Rattus norvegicus: one gene and its partners. The protein of the gene in region 1 purifies or fractionates together with the protein of each later gene. This does not show direct contact. Links are inferred from orthologs where the notes say so. Each region holds a gene or a part of one and is shown in the gene's direction. Other genes may lie near its edges. The genes, in order: Ptpn6, Cd72, Kdr and Cd22.

What was found.
Region 2: the proteins of Ptpn6 (region 1) and Cd72 purify together in Homo sapiens (affinity purification with western blotting; 3 studies listed by BioGRID). This does not show direct contact. The link is inferred for Rattus norvegicus from reciprocal best matches to the Homo sapiens genes PTPN6 and CD72.
Region 3: the proteins of Ptpn6 (region 1) and Kdr purify together in Homo sapiens (affinity purification with western blotting; 3 studies listed by BioGRID and IntAct, with this or other methods). This does not show direct contact. The link is inferred for Rattus norvegicus from reciprocal best matches to the Homo sapiens genes PTPN6 and KDR.
Region 4: the proteins of Ptpn6 (region 1) and Cd22 purify together in Homo sapiens (affinity purification with western blotting; 5 studies listed by BioGRID and IntAct, with this or other methods). This does not show direct contact. The link is inferred for Rattus norvegicus from reciprocal best matches to the Homo sapiens genes PTPN6 and CD22.

What each region holds. Positions count from the first base shown.
Region 1 is NC_086022.1:159,221,515-159,229,154, reverse strand, and holds part of Ptpn6 (tyrosine-protein phosphatase non-receptor type 6), read left to right. Parts: intron 1-3,857; exon of another isoform or gene 3,858-4,038; coding exon of another isoform or gene 4,039-4,046; intron 4,047-4,128; coding exon 4,129-4,251; intron 4,252-4,492; coding exon 4,493-4,687; intron 4,688-7,640. UniProt on the Homo sapiens protein: Tyrosine phosphatase enzyme that plays important roles in controlling immune signaling pathways and fundamental physiological processes such as hematopoiesis.
Region 2 is NC_086023.1:62,490,506-62,497,072, reverse strand, and holds the end of Cd72 (B-cell differentiation antigen CD72), read left to right. Parts: intron 1-1,221; coding exon 1,222-1,373; intron 1,374-1,928; coding exon 1,929-2,044; intron 2,045-3,256; coding exon 3,257-3,404; 3' UTR 3,405-3,409; intron 3,410-3,580; exon of another isoform or gene 3,581-3,608; 3' UTR 3,609-3,918; downstream 3,919-6,567. Other genes in the region: Tesk1 (dual specificity testis-specific protein kinase 1), read right to left, coding at 4,143-5,029, 5,536-5,665, 5,780-5,869, 5,992-6,075, 6,235-6,325, 6,470-6,552. UniProt on the Homo sapiens protein: Co-receptor of B cell receptor (BCR) that plays both positive and negative roles on B-cell functions. Recognizes the Sm/ribonucleoprotein (RNP) self-antigen ligand, and coligation of CD72 and BCR inhibits BCR signaling.
Region 3 is NC_086032.1:32,586,567-32,594,206, forward strand, and holds part of Kdr (vascular endothelial growth factor receptor 2 precursor), read left to right. Parts: intron 1-583; coding exon 584-740; intron 741-1,605; coding exon 1,606-1,717; intron 1,718-2,544; coding exon 2,545-2,653; intron 2,654-3,465; coding exon 3,466-3,807; intron 3,808-5,776; coding exon 5,777-5,923; intron 5,924-6,484; coding exon 6,485-6,616; intron 6,617-7,640. UniProt on the Homo sapiens protein: Tyrosine-protein kinase that acts as a cell-surface receptor for VEGFA, VEGFC and VEGFD. Plays an essential role in the regulation of angiogenesis, vascular development, vascular permeability, and embryonic hematopoiesis.
Region 4 is NC_086019.1:95,251,017-95,258,656, reverse strand, and holds part of Cd22 (B-cell receptor CD22 precursor), read left to right. Parts: intron 1-831; exon of another isoform or gene 832-916; intron 917-1,667; 5' UTR 1,668-1,688; coding exon 1,689-1,725; intron 1,726-1,941; coding exon 1,942-2,334; intron 2,335-3,339; coding exon 3,340-3,639; intron 3,640-6,042; coding exon 6,043-6,312; intron 6,313-6,438; coding exon 6,439-6,702; intron 6,703-7,640. UniProt on the Homo sapiens protein: Most highly expressed siglec (sialic acid-binding immunoglobulin-like lectin) on B-cells that plays a role in various aspects of B-cell biology including differentiation, antigen presentation, and trafficking to bone marrow.

The sequences.
Region 1 (7,640 bases):
GGGATCAGACCACGAGGGTTAATCCCTACATGAGGAGGGTGGTGAAATTGAACACAATTCTGGCAACTTAACACCACATCACGAGCTGCAGCTCTAGAAATTTTAAATTTTTGTTGAAGAGTAAAGGCAGGTACATGAAACTTTTGATGAAATTCTCTAGCGAGATCAACCGGAGCAGCATGAAAAATAAACTCTCTACGAGTACTAGCATCCACCAGGGCGTTATTACTGGTCATGGGACCAGGCAAATTAGTATGGGCTCAAATATGTTGTATGAAAAATTTATTTTTTCTGGCCCAAATCAAATTTTGTAATTCTAAAAGAATTTGACATACAGTACTAGTTGACCGAATTGGCCCTGCAATTTCAAGTGAGCGTACCGCATTAACCACATAAGCAGAGTCAGAAATTAAATTAAAAGAATCATGAAATCTTTTGAAAACTTCCAATACAATTTTACATTCTGTAATTTGGGGGGTACCTGGACTATATTGAATTAATACTGGTTCTTGAGAATCAACCATATAGGCACCTACACCGGTTTTGGAGCCATCTGTATAAATATCTAACGCTCCAGACAAAGGCTCTGAGGCAGTGATCTTAGGAAAGATCACTGGATGTTCAGTAAAAAATTGTAGCAGCGGATCCTTAGGATAATGATTGTCAAACTCTCCATCAAAACTACAGCACAATATGGCCCAATCATCTATCAATGCACACAATGTTTCTACCTGAGCAGTTGTATATGGTATAATAATTTTCTTTGGTGAAATACCAAAATGCTGAATGCAAGATTTAACACCTAACACAGCAAGCTGTGCAACAGCAGAAGGGTAATATTCAAGGGTTTTATTAGGAGAAATGTGGGGATAAATCCAAAGAAGTGGACCTTGTTGCCATAATACTCCTGTAGGTTGACGAAAAGTTCTCAGTATACACAAAAGCAGATCTTCCTCTTCCTTATACCTTTTTAGTATTGCCTTTTCTAGTCTTTCTTCTACTTTCCTCAAGGATAATCGTGCTTCCTTGGTTAAAACACGGGGTGAAGTAAGCTGAGAATCCCCTTTCAGGATCTCATAAAGTGGTTGTAAATCTACATTGGGCATTTTTATATAGGGTCGAATCCTAGTAATTTTTGAAAGTCATTTAATGTTTTTAAATGGTAATTCAATTTTTTGAGGAGAAATGCTATGAGAAGTGATTTTAGTTCCTAAATATTCTCCCATTTGGCCCATTTGAACCTTTTCAGGTGCTATGAACAATTGATTGTTTTCAAGTACCTTAACCACTTTTGTATAGGCCGCTTCTAGGACGGCTAGTATAAACATTTAGCCAGCCCCCTGGGGAGCTTGTCCAGCCAACTTAGGCTTCTAGCTACAGATGCCGGCTCCAAAAGCCAATTGAAACTTTTTATTTATTTGTTCCTTTCTTGAAAGGAGTTAAAGCTACATCAATGGGTGAATCAACCAGCATTTAAAGTTTTAACCATTTTTTTTCCTTTTAAACATGAAACACAAAACATTCAAGCAACGAGAAGCAAAACCCAGACATAAATTGACATACATCCACAGCTTGGTGCACCAAGGACAAACAATAGACACAGAGGAAAAGAACTAGATGGTGTTCCACCAAAGGGACCCAGACATCCTACCTAAAGAACCCAGAACCAGAAACAAGCACTTCTCCAATAGGAGCCAGCAAGGAGGCAAGACGTCTCCCACCTCCTTCTGTTCCCAGGAGAGCTTCAAAAAACTTAAGCTCACTTCCTTCTTTTGCCAAAGCATCTGTGGAGAGTTCGGGAGGACTGTTTTTCTCAACCCCATTCTCTCTCTTGCCTAGGGTGTATATTGTCTCTAGTCAGGGTCCAAAGACTAAAAGCATCTATGATACACAAAAACATTTTACCATTATTACCGTGTCCCCTTTTGACCACTACCATTACCCCAAGTCTTTATCTTTGCACATGCTTTAAATTTCTGTGATACTTCTGAATTCTGCTTACTGGGGCCTTTAAAATCTGTATCCACCACCTGAGTTCCCATTCTAGGGGTCAATATGAGTCTGGTGGTGGAGTCTTGTGCTTCTTTTTGTTGCTCTGCGGGAGGCCCGGGACCCGATGGTTCTACCTTTAGTTTCACTTTCTCTAAACTGTCAGTGATGCTTTCTAGTCTGACATTTCTAAGGTCAAGGCTTTTAAAGAAGAATATATCTTATTTGTTTCCTGGTCCTGATTATCCTCTTTTTTTATCTCTGCCTTCTCTCTGTTCCTTTTATCTCCTTTTCTTTTCTTTTTTTCTTTCAGGACCTTTACTCCCTCTGACATACTTTCTTGTTGCTCTGCAAGGACCCTCTGACCTATCCTAACTGCTCTAACCGCTTCCCACACAAAGAAAAAAAAATAAACAAAATTACAAGCCTTACCCACAAAGGATCCATTGGAAACAACATTGCTGCAGACTGCAGACCTTTTAGCCTCTAAACCAAGGCTTCCATCGTCTCTGCTCACCTCCAGAGAACTTTATCGTCCCTTACCGGGAACTTTTCCGACGTCGCTCATCCTGAAGCTGAAGAGTTCTGAGATCCACGAGGATGTCCTCGTCCCCGTACGGGCCACCACTTTGTCGCGCCCACCTCGTCCGGCAAGGAAGACGCAACACGGTTGGATTCTTCTCAACAGCCTTTACTGCAGGACACCTTCATTGTTGATACAGGGAGGCGGCGGCAGCCAGCCCTAATTGTTACAGCTCCAAGTGTTACAGCTTTAAGTGTTACAGCTTTATGTGTTACCGCGCCGAGCGGCAAGCCGCTCGGCTTATATACACAACAGTATGCTAATCTTCTTTCAGGGATTGGTGGGCGCGAGTCACCCCACTGCCATCCCAGCTACTTGTCCTCCAGAGATTGGCGAGGCATGAACTCCCATTTAGCATAGTACCGCCCCAGCCAGACTGACGTCAGGTGCAAAACTCCACGCATGCTCAGTACTGTTGTTAGGAGGGCGCCAGATTCACCTCATTATCATACAGCTGTCGCACCGCTCCCTACAGAGAAGGCCCGTGACCATGACAGTGCTGCACGAGGTTGCCTTGTGGGGGCTGTCAGCTGTGATAGCATCTCCTTCAGACAAGGAGTCTAGGGTTGGGGATTTAGCTCAGTGGTAGAGTGCTTGCCTCGGAAGCGCAAGGCCCTGGGTTCGATCCCCAGCTCCGGAAAAAAAAAAAAAAAAAAAAAGGAAAAAAAAACAAAACAAAAAACAGACAAGGAGTCTATTGACTACTGTTCTTTGGGACCTGAGGGTTGGCAAGCAGAATTCAAAAATCATTGGTTTTGAAACTATTTAGGTCTGAGTCCTGCCACTCACTAAGGGTAAGGCCTGGGGCAGTTCCTCAGACTTCTCAGCCTCAGTTTCCTTGTCTATAAAGTGGGTATAAAGATAGTACCTGTGTAGTGAGGCCGTGGTGCCCTGTTACTCACAGGTGGCATGTAAATGACATTGTACCAGTGAGTCTGGCATGCGTTGACACTCCATTAAATGACAGTGTCACCACACACTGTCAGTATTATAGCTGTGCCTTAGAATTCTGAGTAGAAGCAGCTGCTGGAGGAGGAAAGGTTGACCTGATCATGTGGATATTCACTGTGTGTGACTCTTGACCTGGAGGGACTGAGGGGCACCCACGTGTGTCCTTACCTCTCGAGTCATGAGTGTTTAGTGCCATGCTCCTGTGCCTCTGATGGCAGACTGTGCGAAGTGGGCCCTCCCCCACCCTGCCACCCTTCAGCTTCTCTTCCCTTGCTCTGAAAAGAGAAGTACAAGTGAGTTCCCCTAAGGGGTCGGCCGCGCCCCTTCCTGTCTCCGCCCTGCTGGCTGCCCCAGGCCAGTAGAGTGGTAGCCCGGGAGCAGGACAGCAGGTTGGCTTTGGAGGCCTGGGCTCTGAGAGCCTTGAGTAGAAGGCTCAGCTCTAGAGTTTTTAGGTGCCTGCCCAGACAGACTGTTCCCTCCACGTTTTCTGCAGCCAATACACCAAGAGCCTCAGGATGGTGAGGTAAGGGCCATGGGAGATAGGAAACGAGGGTGGCCTGGAGCCCAGGGGATATTCCCTCACTGCCCTGTGCACCTACCTCTAGGTGGTTTCACCGGGACCTCAGTGGGCCTGATGCCGAGACCCTGCTCAAGGGCCGGGGAGTCCCTGGGAGCTTCCTGGCTCGGCCCAGTCGCAAGAACCAGGGTGACTTCTCCCTCTCAGTCAGGTGGGTGGCCCTCCCTGCACCTTGTGTGGGTCCTGAGCATTCTTGGGCTCCCCGGGCTGTGTTGGTTGCCTTCCCAGATTGCACTGCTTTCCTTATGTCCCTGCCTGTAGCCCTAGCATGTGCCCACCACTGTCTATGTCCACTCCATGCCTGTGTGCTCTTGCACGGAGACTTCTGTCCCCCAAGCCCACTCCGCTGCTGCTCCTGTACCTGGGGACTCACTACCTGTGGTGCCTTGCAGGGTGGATGACCAGGTGACTCATATTCGGATCCAGAACTCAGGGGACTTCTATGACCTGTATGGAGGGGAGAAGTTTGCGACGTTGACAGAGCTGGTGGAGTATTACACTCAGCAGCAGGGCATCCTGCAGGACCGAGACGGCACCATCATCCACCTCAAGTACCCACTGAACTGCTCGGACCCCACCAGCGAGAGGTGAGGGGCATTGCAATGTAAAGGGGTGAACACCCGGATTGGGTGTCCTGCTCACAGTCCATTCCTCATCCCTGGCCTTCCACACCTGTTCTCTCAGTGCTGAGCCTCTTTCCTTTGTAGCCTGATGACTCCCATATCTAACCAATCCCCTGTCTGCTGAGGAAGCAAGAGAAGGGTTCCCCTTGCCTTCCTGCAGGGTTCCTGCTACCTAGCAACCTTATCCTGAGAGTAACAGAGAGGCCACTCCTTGTCGATGATATTTCTCATCAGGTTGGGCCCTATTACTAGAAAGTTCTTCCTTCCATGGAACTCTGGTGCCTTCTTCCAGCTCTCCACACAGTCTGGGGCTCTAGGTCCCTGTCTTACTAAGGTCTCAGAGGTTCATTGGCACTGGGATACTCAGGGAAAGTCAGCAGACACACTGAGCTGTGGCTGGACAGAGCTTGGTGGAAGCGAGGTCACTGATGTGGTCACAGGCGTGGAGGGCTCAGGCTTACCTGACTCAAGGAAACCCACAGGACAGCTCCTAGCAGTGCTGCAAAGACACAGCCCTCATAGCTGGACTGACTGTTCTTGTGGTCTTCTCAGAGCGTGGTCAAGGGGAAGGGCATGGAGATAAACGTCTCTCATTACACTGGAGTTCATCTTAGCTGCAAAAGCAGAGTGACTGACAGCTCCTGTTAAAGGGCAGTGGAATAACTCTAGGGTTTTCTTATGGACTCCGGGGACCCATGCCTTATTCCTGTCCTGTGTTTGTATATTTACGGTTGAAATGATTTCGAGCTTAATCCCCCTCCTCTGCTTAAACCCTCACTCCTCTGCTGGGCCTTGTCTGTGTTGAGCACGTGCTTTGCCACCGAGTTGCTTTCCTCGCAGTTTTTAAATCCGTCTTGAGATCCGTGCCTACAGACTTAGCCCAGTAGTTTTGTTTACAAGTCACTGATCGAAACTTAGGACTGGAGGGGTATGGTCCAGGGTCGCCTGTCATGCATTGAACACTGGGCTTGAGTCCCTGTAATGCAAAAACCTGGTGTGGGTGACACATGCCTGTAAGCCCAGTGGGGAGTCAGGAAGACCAGAAGATCAAGTTCATCCTCCATTACATAGCAAATTTGAGGCCAGATTGGGCTACATGAGACTTAAAAAAGCTAAAACAAACGCAGTGTTGGTGGCACCATATGCCTTTCATCCCAGCACTCAAAAGAGGGAGGGGAAGGTGGATGTCTTTAAGTTCAAGGCTAGCTTGGTCTACCAGGTAAGTCCCAACACAGCCAGGGCTCCACAGAGAAACTCTATCCTGAAGAACCAACTTCCCAAAACAAAACAACAAAACTCCAACCCACCCAAACAAACAAACAAACAAGCAAACAAAAAACCACCACTACCACCTCCAATATAGACCGTGAAAGACTGGGGTAAAAGCTCTGTGTTTCACCCTTTGCCAGTGACACAAAGAAGCTGGAGATGTTTCCTTGAAAGTTTTCCTCTCCTGCTGGTGAATGGCAAGGGAGGACCCACCTCAGGTGGTCTCTTCTCTCTTCTACCTGCAACACTCAGGTGGCCTCTCATTCTCTTTTCACTCCTTGCTTTCTCTTTGTTGCTGTTCCAAGCCAGGATGTGCCCTGCTAGAGGAGACCATGGAGGTACAGCTGAATGGTGGCTGGCCTGATCCCTGGGATAGGGAAGAAGGTGGGAGCTAAACAGGTGTTAGGAGAACAGACCAGGGCAGTGGGGAAGCACGGGACACACCGTGGATGCTACACCCCGACAGGGCTGTGGAGGATTCCAAGAGACACTTTGGATACCAGCTGGGAAGCTCAGTGTCATCCCTAACCTTGGTTATGTGGAAGCCATGACCCAACACTCCTTCTGTCCTTACCCCTCCTCTTCTAGGAAATTTGCATTTGTCCCCTCAATAGTGAACTCTCTGCCTGTGGTCTGTTCACATTTGCATGGAGACTTCCTCATCCTGTCCCTGAGGGAAGGAACTGAGCCCCCTTACATTGCTTGGGGTCTCTGGCCTGTCTTTGAAATGGGCTAGGATGGCCCAGGAGGCCTGGGTTGGGGTAGAAGCCTCTGAAGGGCCTTGAGCTATGGTGTCCTCTGGACAGAGTTGAGAAGGACCAAGAGGACTGAGCCCCACTCCACCCCCCCCATCCTTGCGGTTGGAAAATGCTGCCGCCCCCCCTTCCTGAGCTGAGGAAACCTCACAGCCTCACTTCTCACTCTCTCCCCAGAAGGAGTTTTGTATTTTTTCCATCACGTGGTTTCCTGTGAGGCTAGGCATTGTGGGGCTACAGTTTCCTCCTGGGAAGAGGGTGCTTCACGGAAAGGTCCTTAGTTCTGCTTTCTGCCCTGCAGCCCCTCGGAGCTCTGTGGAGCCCCTCTGAACCCCTGCTACCCCTGGAACCTTGAAATACTCTTCCCTCGGGGGAATGTTTGTCTCCCTCACCCCCAAATGCGTTTTTTCATCAGTCCTTCCAGACTTTTGTCTCCTTTGGCACCCGCTGCCTTCTGTGGTTTGAGTCCATCCATGTTTTTCTGTCCCTTCTTTTAACTCAGTCAGAGTCCATTTCATGGGGACGCTTCATTTTGTCCCTCCAAATATTTTGTACACTGCCTTTCTGTTTCTCATGAATAGTTGAGAGAGGCTTCATTTAGGTTTTGGCTAGAGCCCTTCCTTCATTCTTTCTTTCTCCCTTCCTTTCTCCCTTCCTTCCGTTTTTTTTTTTTTTTTTCCTTTCTGTTTATCTTGGTCCTGGGGAGAGAACTCAGGGTTTTACATGTCCTGCTGTGCCAAAGGGACAGTCTTCATGGTTCGAATGCTGCGAAGGTTTATCTCTGACTGAACTAGGACCTGGGACCAGCATGCAACTGCTTAGCCCCCTTTTTCTTATTGTAGAGAAAATGGCAATCTCCCAGCTTTTGTTTTGTTTCTCTGTTTAAAAAGAAT
Region 2 (6,567 bases), on another chromosome or scaffold:
GTGCTCTAACCACTGATCCAACCCTAGTTATGGGCAAATCCTTCAAAACCACAAATCTGATCATGCTGTCCCTGTTGAGGCCATGGCATTCTTATTAGTTATCCAAGCAGTAATGGGGCATAAATACACTCGAGCGTGTGCCCAGACACAGGTATGGAGAGAGAGCACACAATTCCTTGATGTGAAAGTCAACAGTATTGTTCTCTTCCTCTTAATAGAACAATAAAATCTTGAGACAGACATGGTGACACGTAACTTCAGCATTTAAGAAGCTCAGGCAGGAGGATGAGGAAATTGAGCCCAGCCTAGGCTATATCTCTCTGTCTCTCTGTCTCTGCTCTCTCGCTTTCTTTCTCTCTCATTGACATGGTTCTCAAGGCTCTGCCTACCTTTAGATATGTTTATCTCTCACTCTCTTCAAATCAGTCACACCCAACTAAAAAAAAAAATTCCTTTAAGTTGCCACAGCACAGAAAAATGGGAGAAGCTGGATGGAGACATAAGAAAATGTAGGGGAGAGAGAGAGAGAGAGAGGAAGAAAAGAGAGGAGAGGAGAGAGGGAGAAGAGAGAAGGATAGAGACAGGAAGACAGGAAGAGAGATAGCATGTGTGAGAGACAGAGAGAGAGTCCGGCGGTGGACAGGGAATGATTTCTGAATGTTGGCTAGGTCTGATAAGAGTCGTTTGTGATCAAGAGCAGAGTGGGGCGTTGGATGTTAAAGAAGGATTCATTTCTTACAGGTAATCCGGAAAAGAACAGAGATCAGCATTTTTAAGTAGAGAAGTGGAAATGGAGAATATTCATAATTTTTAGAAAAGCAGGAACCAAGTTTGTCTGCTTACAGAGTTGTGGAGAGAGATGTGGCCACAGGCTGGAGGAGTGTGGCAACCTCTGAATGTGTTAGGGATTAAATGGAATGAATGAGTGAGTGAATGAATGAATGAGAAGCCCATTGATCAGTGTGGGAGCTAGGCAAGGTTGGCAAGTTTAGGGCAGATTTTAATGTTTCAGAACCCAGGGACAGTGTACTAACTCCACTAGGAAATTCTTCCCATGTTATTAAGGAGTAAAATGTTTTCAGAAGAGGCAAAAAGATCGCAAAGATCAAGGACTAAAGCTGACAAAACCGACATTGAGAGCAGACCCTTAGGGTCAATCAGCTGGCCAATTAGTCAATTTACCCCAAGAGTTGTGGCTGTCATATTCTTTCTGCTTTGTAGACACCTGCTGTCCAAGTGGATGGGTTCAGCATGAGAAAAGGTGCTTTTACATCTCAAATACCCCCAGAAGTCTGGAGGAGAGCCGAAAATACTGCACATCTCTGTCCTCCAAACTGGCTGTGCTCAACGAACCTCCTAGGTATTCCCTACAAGTGAGCATGACCTTATCTATATTTTGAGGTGGAGGTATGTAAAGAGATGTGTGCTATCAAGTCAGGAATGGCAGTGCACATCTGCACACAAGCCATGGTTTACATTGCTTCCCCAAGACAGATATGGAAGTCACACTATTAGCCAGTAAGTGTGGCAATAGTTGGGCATTCTCACTCCCGTGATATCCCATGGCTCCTATTGTTTAGCATCCGTGAGAGCTGACATGTCTGAGCCATCTCCACTTCAGTCTGTCTTGGCTTGCTGGCCTGCCCCTTGCCTGCTTAATTCCTCATTGACTCCTCTCAGGCCGAGTGCCAACCCCCTGACACTCATCTGAGACCGGAAGTTCACAGGCTGACTCCACTTCCCTGCTTGGAGGGGAGATGGAGAGTGAGCCTGTGTCTGGTAACACTGGAAGGATAGATGCAGGAGCAATTAATTAATTCATGTACTAAGTGGGCGTGGCCTCTTGCTAAGTGAAATTCATAGGCCCCTAGGGTGCCCCCACTTTACTCTGTATTCTCATTGTTCTCTTACCCCTCTGAACCCCCTAGGATTCTCTGCCTGATGGCTTAAAGAAGTTGCTAGATCGTTCAAAGTCATATTGGATTGAGCAGATGAGCCATACTGTATATTATCCACAAAACATGAAGAACATGAAGGGGAGGAGGTATTGTCATCTCAGTTTTTTTTTTTTTCTTTTTTCTTTTTTTTTTTTTTTGGATCTGGGGACCGAACTCAGAGCCTTGCGCTTGCTAGGCAAGCGCTCTACCACTGAGCTAAATCCCCAACCCCTGTCAACTCAGTTTCTTATAAAGGCATATTACTTCCTTAAGTCCTGCTCCCAAAACTCCCCCACAAATCGGTATTGTGGTTTCTTGTTTCTTTTACTTGATTAACATATTAACTTGTTTAAGATATTAAAAACAAAACGTGTTGGTGGAGGGGTGCCACAGGGCAGGCAGAGGACGGCTGTGGGGGGCAGTTCTCTCCTACTGTGTGGGTCTCGGGGACTGCTCCCAGGCTGTGGTGCTCACCTGCTAAGTCATCTCACTGACGTGCACCTTACTCCATACTCCATCCATAGTGCCTGGAGGTCTCTAGTGCATACTTACATTACAATGGCATTTTCCTGTAACCCTAGCACTCAGGAGGCTGAGGTAGGATTGTGAGTTAAGGCCAGTCTGGGCTACACAGCAAGACCCCTTCCCACATCTCTAAAAACAAATTAGGCTGAGAAGCGATTTCAGCAAGGCTTCTCAGGCAGAGGAGTGCTGGCATTGACCTAAGCCTTGACAGGCTGCCCAAACAGACAGCTTGCTTAGTCCATGCCAACTGGGGCACTAGACCGGTCTCAGGAGAGGGCAGAGTAGCTGCAGTTTTGCTCCAGGGACCCCAAAGCAGGGCGCTACTTCATGTTCCATGGGGTTTGAGGTCTGTGACTCCTGGGTGCTGTAAAGGTGCACGAAGTCACACCCAACTCCTTACGTGCAGCTTTCCTCTTTTAAGACTTGGGTGAGGGCTGGAGAGATGGCTCAGTGGTTAAGAGCACCCGACTGCTCTTCCAGAGGTCATGAGTTCAATTCCCAGCAACCACATGGTGGCTCACAACCATCTGTAAAGAGATCCGATGCCCTCTTCTGGTGTATCTGAAGACAGTTACAGTGTACTTATATATAATAAATAAATAAATCTTTAAAAAAAAAAAAAAAAGACTTGGGTGAGTTTTCCTCTGTGGCCTTAAGGCCTGTGGAGCTGAAGTTCAGAAACCTGTTCCTGAACCATGTGGCCCTAGCAGGTCATAGGCTTTGGACTAGGTTTTACAAAGAGCAAGGGAAAGGAGGGACTTGCAGACTCTAAAGTATATCCCAACTCTTCACAGGTCCGATTCTCATTCTCAAAGCTCATGTTACCTGATAAAATGTTACCATTCATGGTGGTATGAAAGCTCATACACGTGTACAGACCTTTTCCCCTGCATTTGTGAGCTGGAGGCGCTCAGGTTTCCTGATGGGATCCATCTGAACTGAAATGGGTAAGCATGAGGGAGATGAGGCATGGGTGTGTGGACAGAGGCCCAGAGGACTTTGTCCCCTCGTTTGTCTCATCCCCCACCTCCAGTGGCTGTCTGCTTACACAGGGCCAGGCGAGGCAGGGAACAGAGAGGAGCTGGGGAGAAATAGGATGAGGGCTAATGAAGTCAACTGGAGCTCACTGGTGCTTTATTTTTCCAGACACTTCAACAAGACCTTGTGACCTACATCCTTAACCTATGGCCTGCCAATTCTCAAGACTGCTATTCCTCCAGCACTCCCTCACTCTTGGGCACGCCCAGCTAAGGGCTGATTCTGGTCTGGCGACCTGCTGCTTGCTTGAAAGCTGCTCCAGAAACTATTCTTGGGAAGAGTAAAGAAGCCTCCAGAAAAGACTTTGACCTTCCTTAAGAACTTCCCGAACTAGAGATGGGTCAGGGGAGGGCGCTCCGCTGAGTGGATGGATGGCCCGGAGCCAGCCAGGCAGTTTTATTGAAATATTTTTAAATAATTTGCACGTGTTAGTCTTGTGTGTCAGCAATGCTGTGTCTAGTCCAGTGATCCCAGGGGTTGGACAGGAAGTGCTCTGTCCATTGAGACCATGCTGAGGCTCCCCTATACGGGGAGAAGAGCCAGTCAGCCCATCTGGGGCTGGCATTGTCCAGCAAGTGCACTCTGTCCTTACAGGGTATCCCGAAGGCCAAGGTTGGAAGCCTGAGATCACAGGCCTCACTGCTAAGAGCGTGCCCCAGGCAGCTGCAGGCTGGGTGTGGGTGGCTTGGCATGATGCCCTCGGTGGCAGAGAAGACTGCCCGCCTCACAGTTCAAGTTGCGGTAGCGGGCAACAGCTGGGGTAGGGCGGGGGCACATGGATAGGAAGCCAAAGCTGAAGGGGCTGAGGCAGCAGCCAGGGCAGGGAAGCCCCTCCTCCTGCTCCCGGGGAGCTGATGGGGGTGGTGAGGGTTCTGTCCGCTCCAGGGCTGCTGCCCGGGGAAGGCTATGCTGTGCCCGGTTCCAGGGCTCCCTCGCCCATCCTTGTGGGGAATTCACCACCACAGCAGGGGGGTTATTATTGAGGGAAGGTCCTGGTCTAGCAGACCAGGGCTGAGAGGCTGAGGAACACGTACTGATGAAGTTGTCAGTGGCCACAGCCAGAGGCAGCTGGGGAGCCGGCCCTGGGGGCTCTGGCTCAGGGCTGCTGCCCTCACAGTCCATCCTTTCCTCAGTCGAGGGGCCCACGGGGGACGGGCCAGGACCTGGCAGTGCAGTTTCCATCCGTCGGGGGAGCTCAGGGGATGAAGGGAGTGAACGACAGCGGCGGACGGGAGTCTCAGGCTGGACCAGGGACTCTGGAGAGGCCACCAAGGGCAGCTGGGTAGAGGTCAGTGGTGATGGTGGCACCAGGGGCAGTGGAGTGGCCGGCTTGCAGGGTGTGTCCAGAAGTTTGATCTTGCCACCCCTGAGGTCTTCCCGCAGTGAGAAGGGGTTGACTCGTGTTAGATTGTCCCCCCAACTGGGGGGTGATTCTGGTGAAGGTGGCAGGAAGAGGTCTGACCGGCTTCGGGAGAGCCGGGGGTCTGACCTGGGAAGCGTGGCAGAGGGACCTCCTCTTGGAACAGACCCTGTGGAAAGAGAGGTGTGAGATCACTGTCCTCAGCATCTGTGCAGAGCTGAGGCCCTCGATCCCCAGGAAGGTGGTGGGACATGAGCTTAAGAAAGGGAAGCCTACAGGTGCTCTGGAAGGGATGACTGTTATTTCCCGCTACCTTGTTTAGTCTGTATGAACCACAGGACACTGAAGTTGTCAACTGAGGTCAGAGGTCAGAGGACAACTTTCAGGTGTTAGTTTTTAGCTTCCATGATGTAGATCCCAGTGATGGATCTCAGGTCCTTATGCAAATGACTGAACCTGTTGAGCCATTTCACCAGCCCCTCCAGCTACCTTTCTACCGCCCTTTTCTGCTTCCTTGGGCTCTAGCAATAAAAACCCATCTTCTATGAGATGCCTCTCCACCCTCCCACCTGACTGCCTACCTTTTAACTCATAGATCCAATTAGCCTCCTCCAGATAACTGATTCTCAGGAGAGGCAGAAGGACTTCTGCTGGGTCAAGGTCATGCTCACGTACCCTGATTGTATGTCAAGGGAGCCTTGGCAAGGGGCATCTTGGCGAGGGGCGTGGGCTCAGGCAGCTGCTCCAGGATTTGTTCCAGGTGCTGGGTAATTTCAGTAAAAGGGGCACGGGCGCTGGGTTCCATCTGATGGATAAAGACAGCTTTGCTCAGGGCTCAGAAGATGGTGAGTTTCCTCCACTATCTCCCCAGACATAGAAGACAACTCATGGTTAGGGGCAGGGCAGGGGTAACACTTACGCTGCAGCAGTGGATGGCCAGAAGCAGGAAAGGTAGCGGACAGTCATTTCCCACCAGAGTTCGAAAAGCAGGCACATCCAGACCAAAGTCCTGTGGGGACAGAGGAGGGGCTGCCAAGTTAGCCTTCAGTGGGCTCTCCTTGTGCCCCACTGTGAGAATCGACCCCACAGAGCCCTTCTTGGTTGAGGCACATACAGTGGAGGTTACTTCACCTCAGTACGGGGTAGGTAGTCAGGGTCTGCAGGTACTCGGGCGATGAGCTCACAGAGGACAATCCCAAAGGCGAAGACGTCGGCCTGGAGGGAAGTGGGCCATGCCAAGGGGGAGGAGTCAGCACTTATCTTGGGTTGGAAGGGTGGCAGTGAGGGGTAAGGGGCAAGGCCGGGGGCTCCACATATATAACAGAGCTGTTGGATGGGGGCTCTCAAGGTCTCTGGGGGGCTTGAGGCTCTTACCTTCTCATCATACAGCTCTCCCCGCAATACCTCTGGGGCCATCCAGTATGGGGAGCCCACCACAGCCAATGGCTCCTTCCTTGCCCCTTCCCTGCAGAGGCAGGGTGGTCAGAATCTTCTATTCAGACATCCCCAGACGAAAGGGGATGGGGTAAGCCTCCTCTCCACCCACAGAAAGCACCACTGGCGTAGGGCAACCCTGGGAGGCTCCGGGTAAGAAGGGTGGCCATCTTACCTATACACAGGGATCTTTTCAGCCAGTCCGAAGTCACCCACAACAGCTGTGAAGCCTCCGTCTTCCCGTCGGACCAGACAGTTCTGACACACACACAC
Region 3 (7,640 bases), on another chromosome or scaffold:
GGAGCAACCCCATTGCTCACTTCTCCAGGTCACCACCTTCAGAGTACCCTAGCACATACTGTGCGCAATACATACAAAAGTCAAGTTGAGCTTCTATTCTAAAGCCTTGGTCCAGGATCAGTATTAACTGATGCCTTTGGGCAAATTTTTTAATATTTGCCCCATTTCTTTTCATGTGTAAAGTGAGAGCCATATCCATGATTATGAGGGCTGAAAGTCAATGTGAAGCACCTCAACAAGGCTTGGTGCACAATAAATGTCTTTGCTGAGTTATTCCAACTGCTTTCTCTCTGTAGCCTCTCACCCCATTCTTGCTAGACTAGAGGATGTGGAGAACAATATCTTTCATGTAAGAGTAAGAGAGTGTGGCATGGGAGTGCATAGCTGAAGTCACTCAGCTTATCAGGTTTTAGTGTTATGAGAGAATAAGAATTCAGGTCTTCTGTCTCCAAGTCTAGATGTCCTTTGGGAAAACAAGCAGAGGTCAAATCATATGAGTACACAAGGCAGATCTGGTTGCTGAAATCCCCTCTTTGTTCTCAAAGCAATTGGGAAGTTCACAGGTCGCCTTTTCTATCTCCAGTTCCACCCCAGATCGGTGAGAAAGCCTTGATCTCTCCTATGGATTCCTACCAGTATGGCACCATGCAGACGCTGACATGCACAGTCTATGCCAACCCTCCCCTGCACCACATCCAATGGTACTGGCAGCTAGAAGAAGCATGCTCCTACAGGCCCAGGTGAGTGGGACCATGTGCTCTGTTCACTTGCTATCATGCATCCCTTCCTGCCAAGCTATGCCACGGTTCCACCTAAATCTGCAAGGCTATGTCCAAGGAAGTTACTTTCAATGGTACTTAGACTCACCTCCCACATCCCACTATGTGAGTCAGCTCTTTCTCCTTAGTTATCCCTGATGGATACCTCTCCAAACGGATACCATTTGCTGCGTTTGCTAGTTGCCAATCTTTGGATCTTCTTCTGTCTGTGGACTGGAGAGGACCACCCTGCTCCTCCTTATCTCTGGGAAGGTTCAACTCTCAGAGGAAGTGCTGGTGGATGGGAGGCAATGATAAACGTAGCCCAGGCCTCAAGAGTCTCGGGCCCAGCTTATCAAGGTCTACCACAAGTGCAGACATCCTTAGGGAAAACAACAGCCACCACCTTCAACCTACCACCCCAAGCATTCCACTTCCTGTTGTTGTTTTTGAAATAGCAAACCCTAGTTTCTTCCTCAGCTGCTGACCATTTCCTAAACAAAAGTCACCAGTCATTCCCAGAGAGATGACTTTAAGAAGCCCCAATGGCTTCCAAGTTTCCTTACCTTCCTTTGAACTAAGTGAGCTTGAATTGTCTTGTCGATGCAATTTATGAATGGAGACTTGTTCCCAGAATAGCTGCTTCCCTTCTGTATTCTCGGGCAGCTACCTTGGACCTTTGCACTGTTGTTGGCATCTATTTTTAATTGGCGCCAAGTTCTGCGAAGTGTTAGCCTGTGTTGAGAGTTATCACTAAGAACGTGATAACCATAGGCTGACCTTTTCTGGTGCTACTGAACAAAAGAGAAGTCAAATCATGACATGCTGTGCTTTCTCCCTCTTACAGCCAAACAAACCCATATACTTGTAAAGAATGGAGACACGTGAAGGATTTCCAGGGGGGAAATAAGATCGAAGTCACCAAAAACCAATATGCCCTAATTGAAGGAAAAAACAAAGTGAGCTTGAACTTTGATTTTGAATCTCTCTTTTTCTAATTCTTGAATCTGAGTAGAAGGTGGTACAATAACATGCAAAGGTATATTGGAGGTTAATAATCAAATAGTCTGTATTATGTCATCCATAACAGCCTAGGTATAGAGTCAACCTAGGTAGATAAAGAAAGCATGAGTTTTACACACATACGCACACACACACACACACACACACACTCCTTCAATCTTAAATAGCAACAAATTTATGCCATTTGCAGAAAGTTGAGATCATCACATTAAGCGAAATAAGTTAGACTTAGAAATACAAATATGATTTTCTTTTATATGAGTCAGGATAAAAAAAGATATGAAGGTAGAGAAGACAGACTGATTGGGAGTGAATATAATCTAAGTATATTATATACATGTATAAAATGTCATAATAAATCTTGCTGTTTTGTACAATTAATATCTACTAATTTAAAAGGAGAAGGGAAAAACCCGTAGTACCCATAGCTTACTAGCAGTTTATGGAAGAGAAACAAAGCACATAATGCCACTCAGTGTAAGCACCTGTTGAAAAGTAATTCTGATTCTATACACATAAAAAATGAAAAGTGTGAATTATGTCCATGAGAGTGCATCCTTGAGGATTTCTGAGGCACTTTTGTATCCCGTGTATTACTGCCTGGTTAGAGCTGCTTACCTTTGAGGGTGGGCAGTGTGTACCATGAATGGCAAGGGCAGTCCTTAGCAGCTGTGGAGGGCTGATGGATAGACTGTCTCAGTGTGTATGTGTGTGTATATGTTCAGCCTGTATTGTTCATGACTTTGGTCTTGTATGTTCACAGACTGTAAGTACTCTGGTCATCCAGGCTGCCAACGTGTCCGCATTATACAAATGTGAAGCCATCAACAAAGCAGGACGAGGAGAGAGGGTCATCTCCTTCCATGTGATCAGTGAGTAGACCTCTTTGGAGAGTGGGGTGGGGGGAACCCTCAGGAAGTGGGTGCTAATAAGCTGTGAGGTTGTCTGTTGTCTTTGGGATTTGTGTGAGAGGTGGGCTGTGTAGATAGGACTCAAGGTAACAAGCTAGAGCTGCTCACATAGCCCCTGGGCTTGTGAGAGAGTTAATGTGCCATCCCTGGCCAGAGATGGTTTCCACTTGTGCTTTAAGCCTCAAGATCCATGTTGTGTGTAACTTGTCTTGCTCACCAGTTAGTGGGATTCTTGACTTCCTAGGGTTTATGAAGTTATCTGTGGGTCTGTGATAGAACAGCACCGGGTCTGGGGCTTCTGGGAGTATGGGAATGATGTGAAATCACTGGCCCTCTGCCTTCCAACACTCTGGAGTTTGTTCCTGCAGCCTAGTTTTACGGGTAAACTTGAGGTGATTGTACTGGTTCAGACATTTTGGCCTGAGCTAATTACTTGTAATAAATGTGGTTTTCATGTCATGTATTAATAAGAAGACATTGTTAAAGATTCCGTGTGATGATTAAATGCCCTACTTTGGACTTTTTGCTTTGCTTTGTTTCAACTTGGAAACCATATCCAGAACTCAAAGTAGAATGCAGTAAATACTTGGCGAAAATTAATTTCACATTTTCAAATAATACGGTTTGTGGAATGAATTGTCTAGTCTGGCTCTGTCTTTGCAGTAATGGCTGGGGACTGTAAGAGCAGTCTCAGTTCGTCACAGCAGGAAGAAGACAATGGTGTCATGTCCCAAACTAAATCACAATCTTCTAACTATGGCTTTAAATTCCAGGGGGTCCTGAAATTACTGTCCAGCCTGCTACCCAGCCAACCGAGCAGGAGAGTGTGTCTCTATTGTGCACTGCAGATAGAAACACGTTTGAGAACCTCACGTGGTACAAGCTTGGCTCACAGGCAACATCGGTCCACATGGGCGAATCACTCACACCAGTTTGCAAGAACTTGGACGCTCTTTGGAAACTGAATGGCACCGTGTTTTCTAACAGCACAAACGACATCTTGATTGTGGCATTCCAGAATGCCTCCCTGCAGGACCAAGGCAACTATGTCTGCTCTGCTCAAGACAAGAAGACCAAGAAAAGACATTGCCTAGTCAAGCAGCTCGTCATCCTAGGTATGGAGGGACCCCTGGTTGATGGGGTTGCAATGCCTTAAATGCAGTGTGTTTGAGTGCTGTGTGAATAGTACAGGCCTCTGGGAGCTTTTGTAGTAGGCAGGTGTACTCCTGGAGGCAGAAACAAGCTAACCCTGGTGAGGTGATGATATCACTACCAGTATCTGCAAGGGATTAGCCTGAACCAAAGAACTTCCTGTGGCATCTTTGAGCATCCAATGATTAAAGTTAACACATTTGTCTAACACTATTAGCAAAGAGAGGGCCAGAAGCTCAAAGTGATGACCTAGAAGGAGAGGATGAGACCATAGGAAAATACTGGGTGGTTATACCATTGTGGGGCCTCCAATTCTGGAGGACAGAAAATTCTGTCTCTGCTGTAATTTTAGTCCTAGAACACTCTAGCACACACTAGGTTAAACGGTGTGATGAGGGTCTGAGTTTAAGATCTAGAAGATTCCATGAAGGGTGCCATACTCATTGCCTGTGCTTCTATGGTATCCGATGGGGTCCTTGGTAGGTGAAGTTCAGTGAGATAAGCTTGTGATTAAAAAAATAAAAAACTCTTGCATTCCCATGGGGATGCTCTCCATATCTTGTCTACCTTGTACTTTGGACCAAAGGTAGGCATTCTTCTCCTCTGTCTCTAAGGCGATCTGGTGAGATTAGGGAATGTCTCTTTGTGCTTTTTCCTTTTGTTTCCTCCTTTGTTGTATTCTCTGAGGATCTTGTGATATGCATCTTCTCTGTTTTATAGTGTAAGGAAGGGAAACTTATCTAAACCAACATTTTATATGAATATCATTTTTTAAGAGGTTCAGCTTATCTGAAGGAGTGTCTCAAGATAGACACTAATACAAGATTGTATTAAAAACTTGGGCACAGAAGGAACAATGTTTCTGAGTCAAGTCATTCCCAAGACCCTAGAAGTCACACCACATACAGGACCAGTTTTATTCGGTGAGCATCAGTAGCTGGTCCAGATGAGGGGAGAGTTTAGAGAGAAGATTGAAGGAGGCTCCTGGCTTAGCCCTGACCAGGAAGTTTACCATCACCATCAGTGGATATGCTTCTATAAGGAAGCCTATGTTGTTTTTGAAAATCTGTTCTTGGAAAATGACCAGAGCCAAGTATGTTTGTTTAAACTCTGACAAAGTGCACAGTAGAAATGACCATGCACTGCTAAGCATTAAAGGGGGTTCTTTCAATGTGATTCTTTTGGACACCCATCAATGTTTCCACTGCAGTCGATTTTCAGGACAGTAAAGCTCAGGTTTGCTGTACATGCAAACACATGCCCTTGATTTTTCATAGGCTGTTATTGTTTGGATTGTTTGTGTTTTAGTGGAAACTATACTGTATGTTTAGGCCCATCAGATTCTATTATGTCAACCATTTACTTAGTTATAGGGATGTGGGTAAAATGCTTAAACCCCTGAACTGCAATCACATCCCATAATAATAAGGCTAATGGCTTGGCTCTCATTATATGTGACTGGGAGTAAATATTAGAAATGATATAAAGGTATCCAACATTATGTAAGTCACTCCTTACAAAATTGCGCTGAGGTTTTGCCTTTCCTAAGGGAAAACATGAATTTTCCTCTTAGTGGCTACAACTTTAAGAGAAGGCTTAGGGAAAGCCTTGTGAGATTGGAGGGGAAGGAAACCCTCAAACTTGAAAAAACAATCCCCAAAGAGTCCCAAGTATTGTGTGATTTGCAAGTGGGGTGGCTAATGTGAATATTTAAAGGCTTCAGTGTCTGTCTGAAATGTCCTTTCTTATTTTGTTTGACCAACAGGATTGCTGTTGTCATGTTCTGTATAGCTTTGGCTCACTTTATTAATGGGCTACTTCTTATGAAGTTTACTGTGTTTAATAGTCCCAGGACATGAAAACTGTTCTAACAGTTGAGACCATGGGCTCTACAGTTTTCTCTCTCCATTTTTTTTGTGTGTGTGTGCACAGAGCGCATGGCACCCATGATCACTGGAAATCTGGAGAATCAGACAACAACCATTGGTGAGACCATCGAAGTTGTTTGTCCAACATCTGGAAACCCTACCCCCCTCATTACATGGTTCAAAGACAATGAGACCCTTGTAGAAGATTCAGGTGAGTGAGAACTTGTCTATTTCTTTGGTTGTAGGATTATTTTTTTTCAAGGATGCTACGTAGGACTGCTATGGCTTCTTGGTTTGTTTCAAAGTAGACAGACAGCTGTATTTAGGGGACTGGGAAAACAGCTCAGTGAAATGCTTGCTACACAAGCCCTAGGATGGCATTCTCATCTCTGGAACCCATGTAGAAAGCTAGACTCAGCATCCTTCTGTAATCTCAGTACTAAGGGGCAGGGTAGGGGAGTGGGAAGACAAATGTGTCCTTGGAGCTCATTTGTCAGTCTAGCCAGATCCTCAAGCCCAGATTCAGAGAGAGACCCTTTCTCAAAAGAATAATGAGGAAAGCGATAGTGAAGATACCTCACAGCAGCTAATTTGAGTCCTGTTGAGTTTGCATGGAGATCCCATGGGAGAGCAGTCGGTAGTCAACCCTGGGCACCTCTTTAGAGTTAAGAGAATGGTCTGAGATGAAGAGCCCCAACTATTTTTTTAAATGCCCTGGACAAAGCACAAATCACCCCATCAGAAGTAAAGCAGAGTTTCCTTCTTCCTTTAGGCATTGTACTAAAAGACGGGAACCGGAACCTAACTATCCGAAGGGTGAGGAAGGAAGACGGGGGCCTCTACACCTGCCAGGCCTGCAATGTCCTTGGCTGTGCAAGAGCAGAGACACTCTTCATAATAGAAGGTCGGTGTGATGTCATAGGCTCCTCAGGTGGTTTTGGCAATTAGGTCGTATTGTACATAGCCTCAGCTACTAGGATGCCATATGGGTGACTCATGGGGACGCTCATAGTGGTTATAAGTGTCTCATATCTAAAATTTTAATTTAAGCGTCACGCAAGAATACAAAGGCTGAAGGTAATTTTACATAATATTTTCAGGGCATCTACCTTATTTGACTGGAATCTGTCACATGAAATAAGGGGTGGGTGCTCAGAAAGTTTCAGATCTTATTAGTCGATGAGTTCTGAGCTAGGGTTTCCTCCACTTGTTCTTCATAACCTGTCTTCAATGGGCATGCGTCCTTTTAACCGGAGAGCAAAATCAGCGTGCGCTTCAGGCTGTACCATATTTCCTGTCCACGTAGTTCTTGCTGTGAGAAAGCTGTTATCCACGAGTGATAAATATCCCTCCTGTTCCCGGTCCTCACTTTGTTTGAATGGTTAACTTACTGAACTGACACTTCAATATCTACTTGGGGGAAAATAGATTTGGTGTTGGACATTGCTATTTCATTAGTGGCAAGGGTCAAGTGTTCAGGATTTTCCCCAGAGCAATGACAAGATTCACTCATAAACAACAGTTGATTAATAGGTGATTGCTTTTATGATGTGGGAAACTGGGGGTTATAATTGAAATGTGAAAGGAAACTTCTTTCCCTCTACTGTGTGTGTGTGCGTGTGTGTGTGTGTGTGTGTGTGTGTGTAGGATTGACGTGAAGTCCAGCATTTGCTTTTCAGTCAGTATTCTGTGACAGAACATTTCATCTTAAGAAGAGTGTTCTTGGGTCTTGTTTTGTAACCCAGGAAGGGAACAATGTAACTCTGTTGTGTGAGTGAAGGAGTGGTGTGCGAGGGGATGACTGAGGGTAGTTGGAGAGGTAGGTTTGGCAGAATTCTAACAGCTCAAAGTCTAGATCTTGCTCCATACAATCTGTCAAACTCATGTTGTTGGACACTGCATCAAGGCTTCAAGAGCCACTAGCATGC
Region 4 (7,640 bases), on another chromosome or scaffold:
ACACACTCTGTTGGCACATCCTGCAAGATCCCTGGGGACTGACACAGAGATCACAGCTACGTGAACAGAGTTAAATTTAACTCTACATAAAGTGTGGGATGGTGGAGGCCAAGCTCAGTGGGGAGAGAGATACTGGGTATCCGTTGTAAATTCCCTTAAATGCACAGTTAAGTTCTGTCAGGCTAGTGTTATAAAGTACTACTTACTCAGTACCTACTTACAATGGCTTGGGAAGCCAGAGTAGCTTCAAGCTTGTAGTCACAGATCCAGGCTCCCAAATTCTGGGACTTTTAGGTGTACACCACCATGACTGGTCCTATGTATTGCTTCTAAAGCAAGACATTCCCCATGACAATCTGGCTTCTTCCTTTTGGTCAGACCGTGGGTGATCAGACAATGGGAGGTTCTCCCCCTCTCCCCACAATCCTCTGGTAGCAACTGGCTGATGTTAGAAAAGGGATCCCTTGTTCCCTATCAGCACCTGGGGCTCAGGAGGGGTTTGTGCAGACCACTCTCTGTTTCTAAGGCTTTCTAACTTCCTCCAGGTGTTCTGCTTATGTCATACTTCAATATGAGTTTAGTTTTACTTTTTGGTATAGTATTATGGATGGAATCTAGGTCCTTTGCTTGCTAGGCAGGGGCTCTACCACTGAGCCAAGCCCCCAGCTCCTCACTGGGGGATTCTAGGTAGGGGTTCTAGTGCTGAACCCAGCCCCCATTGCCTCCATGGGTGATTCCTGTATCACAGAGATATACCCCCAACCCTCTTTTTATTTTTGTTTTGAGACAAGCATTTTGTTACTTTGACTTGGGCCTGAACTTGCTTTGTAGCCAAGCTGACCTTGGACTTGCAATTGTGTTGCATCAGCCTCTGGAGCACCTGGAATTCCAAGCCGAACTGCCAGGCCTCGATCAGGTTTGTTTCAATGTGATTCCCCTCACTGCCACCCTACCACGCCCCAAGTCTTTCCACTCACTCGGTCTGACTCTATGTATAACTTTGCAATGGTACCCTTCTACCTGAGTCTGGCATTTGAGGCATATAACTGGCAGCACAGAGCCTGAGAGAACAGTTTTAAGAGTTATGAAAGCCATCAAGGTGGCTCAGGGGTTGAATATGCTTGCTGCACAAGCCTGGTCATTCCAGTTGGATTCCTGGGACCCACTTAAAGGTGGAAGGAAAGAGTCAGCTCCACAGAGCTCTCCACAGAGTTGTCCTCTGGCGTCTACACATGCACTTCGGCCTGCACGTGCCTCATACATCAGCTCTGCACTCACCCACATACCAATAATATAAAATAAAAATTTTAAAACATATAAATGGACGGGAGAGAGAGACAGAGGAGAGAAAGCCTGCTTGAAGAAGTACAGTGTACCCAGAAGAGGCTCTATGAGCACCCCAAACCCACATCTCTATCCCATAACCAGGTAGCTACCCCCCAAACTGGAAAAAGGAGCCAGAGTTGAGTGGACAAAGGACAAGCAACAAGATGGTTCAAAGGCAAATTCCTTCTGTTGTTGTGGCTGTTGCTGAAACAGGGTGTCAGAATGCAGCCTACGCTGGCCTCAGACTCCCAGCAATCCTCCTGCCTCAACTTCCCAAATTCCGGAGCTTACAGTCACACACCAACACAACCAGTTTTGCAGACTAACTCTTCTTTTCTTAGATCTCACCCAGACAAGCCATCATGTGTGTCCCCTGCCCGTGGCTCCTCCTGATCCTTGGTAAGTGCTGAGGCCCAGGCTGGGTTTGCAGATAACAGCGGGTGCAGAGAGGGGATGGGCCTAGGGCATCGGAGGGGAACCACAGGGAGGCAGTGTGAAGAGAGAAGGACACTCTGTGCTCCTGCCCCACCGCGTTTCCCCAGTGTCTCCCTCTCCTACTCCTAGTGGAAGTCCCCATCCCCCAGTAACAGCTTCTGACCAGATTTGTGCCTTTAGGACATGTGGCTTCCTTCCGCTCAGCAACTGGATGGTCTGTTGAACATCCCCAAACCCTCTTTGCCTGGGAGGGAGCCTGCATCCAGATTCCTTGCAAGTACAAAGTACCAAAGCCTAGGTCGCGTTTGGACAGCATCCTCCTTTTTCAGAACTATACGTTTGACAACACCACCAGGGATTTCACAGGAAAGGTCCTCTATAACAACACGAAGGCGAGCATAGAGACTGAGCTGTACTTTTCTCAGCAAGACAGAGTAACATTTCTGGGAAACAGATCGAACAATTGTACCCTGAAAATCGACCCGATACATGCCAATGACAGTGGGAAGCTGGGCTTGAGGTTGATCTCAGGGACTGACAAATGGATGGAGCACATTCACCTCAACGTCTCTGGTAAGGCATGGGAAGGCAGCTGACTGTTCTAGCAGTGGCAAAGAGGGATGGGGAAGTGCGGTGTTACCTGATCAGAGTTAGGGTCTCAAACCCTGGAAGAAACAGCTGAGGTGCCTAGTTAAAATATCAAAGAGGGCCCTGCCTCAGGTTCTCCCAGCATTCCTCAGTCCCTACTTGGTACAGAGAGAGTGGTTGACACCTGTTCCCCCCCACCCCCCATCTCTAACCCAACTCTCCAGCCCAAGGGCTGGGCTGCCCCCCATGTCTGCCTCTCCTCCCCCTCCCCCTTCCCTATATAATCCAGCCATCTGGGTAGCCTGCCCCCTCTCTTACCTTTTGCCTTCTTTCCTGGCTGCTACACCTGGTTCCCTTCTCTCCCCTCTTCCTGCCCCTCCTAACCTGGTTCAGGATCATATCCACTCTGGACTCGACTCTCTTCTTTTAAGCTAGGAGAATTAAAGGAATTCTTTTAGGCTAGACGAGGATTGCACGGGGCTCAGAGGTGACCCACAACAGCAGCCAGGGGCCTCTGCCCTAGATAGTATCACCGGTCCACACTGAGCTGTCTGTGCTGGGCCTCTTGACATCTTGGTCTAGTGTGGTGGAGATTTGAGCACTGGGCCTCAGGATCACCCCACTAAAGCAATGTTGTGCTTGGCTGACTCTTAAGTCTGAGGCTGTCAGACACGAGCACGTCACCAATGATTAGCAGTACACGGAGAATTAAACCAATCGATCAAATCAGATCACCCTGGGTGATTCTGAGGTCATTTAGAAATGTAATAGAAGAAGGAAGTGAGAAACCAAGTCAGTGTTAGATACACTCTCCCAGCAGGCTTTGTGTTCCCAAGGCCTTTCAGAGTAGTCAAACTGAACAAAAAGCTAACGATAGTCTTGCAAGGGCTTCCTCTGGGGTGCCACGGGGCAGGATGCCTGAAGCCAGGGGTGAAAGGCCTGTCTGTGTCCCATCCCCAGCAAGCAGGCCTCTCTCTTCTTTCCCCCTAGAGAGACCGTTCCAACCTTACATCCAGCTGCCATCGGAAATCCGGGAATCCCAAAGGGTTTCTCTGACCTGTGGACTGAATTTCACCTGCTTTGGGTATGACATCAGCCTTCGGTGGTCTCTGGACGGGTCCGAGGTCAGCCCTGTCACCTCTTCCATCACCTCCTCCGTTGAGAACGTCTATACAGAGAGCAAGCTCACCTTCCAGCCAAAGTGGACAGACCACGGAAAGAGCATGATGTGCCAAGTCTGGCACTTCTCCCAAGTGCTCTCTGAGAGGACAGTGCGTCTGGATGTTAAGTGTGAGTCTCTGGGTGGGAAGGACGCCACCTGTCACCTTCTTCCTAAATCCTGTCGAGTTGCACCAAGGGTGGGAAAAGCCTGTGTCAGCTGTCGGTCACCTGTTTCTGGGGGTGGCTCAGGCTCTCCATACAGTCTTTTCTGTCAGTCCTAGTCTCAAGACACATTCGTTTTAGCCTTTGCCTTGACCTGAACCTCATTCGGCAACCTAGTGAAGTGGCCTGGAATTGGGCACTCAGGAGGGCAAGGCTACAGAGTAAAACACACTGTCTCAAAAACAAAAGGGCTGGAGATGTACTTCAGCAGTATGGTGCTTACTCAGCACTTCTGAGACCCTGGGCTAATCTCCAGCACCAACCACCCAACCAGTCAATCTGAAGCCACAGCACACTTTGAAGATCACCTCCTTAGGGTTCATTGTTCTCCAAACATGTAAGTTTTTACCTCATTATTTTATGCTTCATTCATTCATTCATCCATTCATTCATTCACTCATTCATTCATTGAATGAATATTTACTGTGGGGCCTGGCATGGTGGAACATACTTTTAAACCCAGCATTCACCAGGCAGAAGTAGGTGGAGCTCTGTGAATTTGAGGCTAGCCTGGTCTGCATAGTGAGATCTAAGCCAATCAGACACTACCTTAAAACAAACAAACAAACAAACAAACAGCCAAGCCTGTGCACTGATTCGGTGCCGGTCTTGTCTTGAATGCCGGTGTAGGCTGAGAACACAGCACTGAGTTAGGTTCTGCCTGTGCGGAGTAACAGTTGCAATGGAGGAAACGCGTAAGAAACATGAATCAAGAAACACAAAGCAGAATTGCTGGGAGGAGATATGTGCATTAAGGAAAAAAAGAGGGCCGGGTAGCTAACTCTTGAGCTTGCCTAGCCAGCCCGATAAAACTCCTTTGAATTTCTTTTACGCTTAGCACTCCGTGATACTACGCCGTTTATTAACTTTTAAAAGATTTTTAAGTTTTTATTTGTATGCGTACGAGTGTTTTGCCTGATTGTATGTCTGTGCACTGACCACAAGAATGGTGTTTGTGGAGGCCAGAAGAGGGTGTTGGATGCCCTGGAACTGGAGTTACAGACAGTTGTGATCCTCTCTGTGGGTGCTGGCAACCTGAGTCTTCTGGAAGAGCAACCAGTGCTCTTAACTGCTGAGCCATCTCTCCAGTCCCATAATATTTTTTTTAAAGTACTTAGGAGAGATGGTTCCATGGTTTAGAGCACCTACTGCTCTTGCAGAGGACCTGAGTTCAAATCCTAGCACCCACACCAGGCAGCAGACGAGAACTCTGTCTCTGCAGGATCTGAGTCCCTCTGACACAGATACACACGATGAAAGGAAAACAAACTTTTTTTTAAAAAAGTACTCGCCTTATAAGAATAGGGACTTGATTTTGAACCCCAGAGCTCACATTTTAAAAGCTGAATGTAAGCAGGGTATGGTGGTGCAGGACTTTAATCCCAGGACTCAGGAGGCAGAGGCAGGTGGATCTCTGAGTATGAGGCCAACCTGGTCTATAGAGCGAGTTCTGGGACAGCCTGGGCTACACTAAGAAACACTGTCTGGAAGAACAAAAGGTCAACAAAAGACTTGAGTGTGGTGGCCTTTGCTTGTCTCAGCTGTGGGGAGGATCCTTGGGACTTGCTGGCCAACGAGTCTGGTATAATTGAGCTCTAGGTCAGTGAGAGACCCGGTTTCAAAAAATGAAAAAACAAGGGGTTGGGGATTTAGCTCAGCGGTAGAGTGCTTGCCTAGCAAGTGCAAGGCCCTGGGTTTGGTCCTCAGCTCCGAAAAAAAGAAAAAAAAATGAAAAAACAAGATGGATGGTTTCTGAAACACAACACCCACAGTTTCCCTCCAACCATATCCACTTGTGCATGTGCATGAACACACAAATACCTCAAAAAAAAAAAAAAGGTAAAAAGAAAGGGGGTTAGGAGGCTGGTGATGGTTAGAGGCTTGTGTGAGGAAGGTGCAGACCTCAGCTGCCGTGAGGGACTAGAACAGGCAGATCCTAAGATCTTAAGAAGAAGGACCAAGTGCAAAGGTCCTGAGGTGAAGCAGTGTACCCATGGCAGAGGCCGAGGACCCGAGAGGAGTGTGGGTCAAGCCTGAGCCTTTCGAGGTAAGAGCGGAAGAAGTATAGAAGGGAGGCCACTGGTCTCCTGGGCTGTACAAGCCCAATGGATAGCTTCAGTGCCAATCTCTGCCGGCAGAGACAATGTGGTCAGGGAACGGACGACTGGGAGCAGGCAGACGGGTGAGGAGCTTGGACAATCACCTGGGTGGACTAAGGAATCACAGATGTGTGCACTGCTATTGTCAGGAAAAAAGTGCAGCCACCAAGCATTCCCTGTCCTCTCTGCAACTGCTTCTCTGTCCCTGCAGACACCCCAAAACTGCAGATCACGGTCAATCCCACAGAGGTCAAGGAGGGCAACTCTGTGACCATGACATGTCAGGTTAACAGCAGCAACCCGAGTCTCAGTACCAAGAAGGTATCCTGGTTCAAGGATGGGAGCTTCCTGAAGGAACAACAGGAACAGGAGGAGCTAACTCTGCATTCAGTGACCAAGGACATGAGAGGGAAATACCAGTGCCGGGCTTCCAACAACATAGGCCAAGGACAGTCCAAAGAAGTGGCACTCACGGTGCTCTGTGAGTTCCCGTGAAGCTGGTGAGGGAGGTATGGAGTTAGCAGGGCCCTCAAGAGATAGCAGAGGCTCAGGTGTCCACGGGACAGGCTCCCCTCACCTGTCCCGTGGCTGCCATACGTTCTTTCAGATCCTCCGGAACCCTCCAAGGTTCACATCTATCCCTCACCGGCTGAAGAGGGACAGTCAGTAGAGCTGATCTGCGACTCACTGGCCAGTCCAAGAGCAACAAACTACACCTGGTATCACAATGGGGAAATGGTACCCGGAGCCAGCCATGAGAAGCTCCAGATCTCTAATGTCTCCTTGTGGCATGCTGGGAAATACTCTTGCTTGGCAGAGAACCGTCTGGGTTGTGGAAAGATAGAACAGGAAGCTGAGCTGGATGTCCACTGTGAGCAGCCGACTGACTTCTTGATTTTGGAGGAAAGGGGGAAATGGAGAAGGAAGGCAAATAGGGTGTAGGGGTGAGGGGTTGTGGGAGTAAGGAGGTGTAGTGGGTGTTGGAGGTAGGGTGAGGGGGTATTCAATGTAGAGGGTGTTGGGTTTGGGGGTACAGGGGGTATTGGGTGTGGGGGTGAGGGGTGTAGGGTATAGAGGTGTTGGGTGTGGGGTGTAGGGGTGTTGGGGTGGGGATGGAGGGGGTGTCTGTTGTGGAGGTATGAAGGTGTTGGAAAGACAAGCAAACAGGCTCCTGGTGCTTCACCGCTGCCTTCTAGACACTGACCGAGAGCCTCAGCTTACGGTAGTTACTTAGTAGATGTTTGTTGAATGGCTTTCACCAGCCTGGTGGCCCAGATCTGTCATCCCAGCTACTGGGGAAGCTGAGACTAAAGGATCACAAATGTGAGGCCTGCCTGGGCTGCAGAGAAACTTCAAGGCCAGCTTAGGCAACTTAGTAAACCTGGCTCAAAAGTAGAAAGTGGACCAGAGATGTAGCTCAATGACAGAATACTATCCTACAATGTTCCAATAAGAGACTGGGAGCGTAGCTCAGCAACCAAACATTAGTCTAGAATCCCCAGTGAGGGGCTGGGGGCGTGGCTCAGTGGTAGAGCCCCTGCCTAGAATCCCCCAGTGAGGGACTGGGGGCGTGGCTCAGTATAGGATACTTAGCATACATGAAGCTCTGGATTCAATCCCCAACTGCATAAAAGAAACAAATGTAGCAACACTTACACAAACGCTCTCAGCCCTGAAGGTACAAAGGCAGGAGGATCATAAATTCAAGGTCATCTTGGCTCTGTAACAAGTTCAAGGCCTACCTGGGCTATGTGAGACCCTGCCTACTACTAGGATTACCCAGTCAGGGGCATGGAGACATAGCATTAG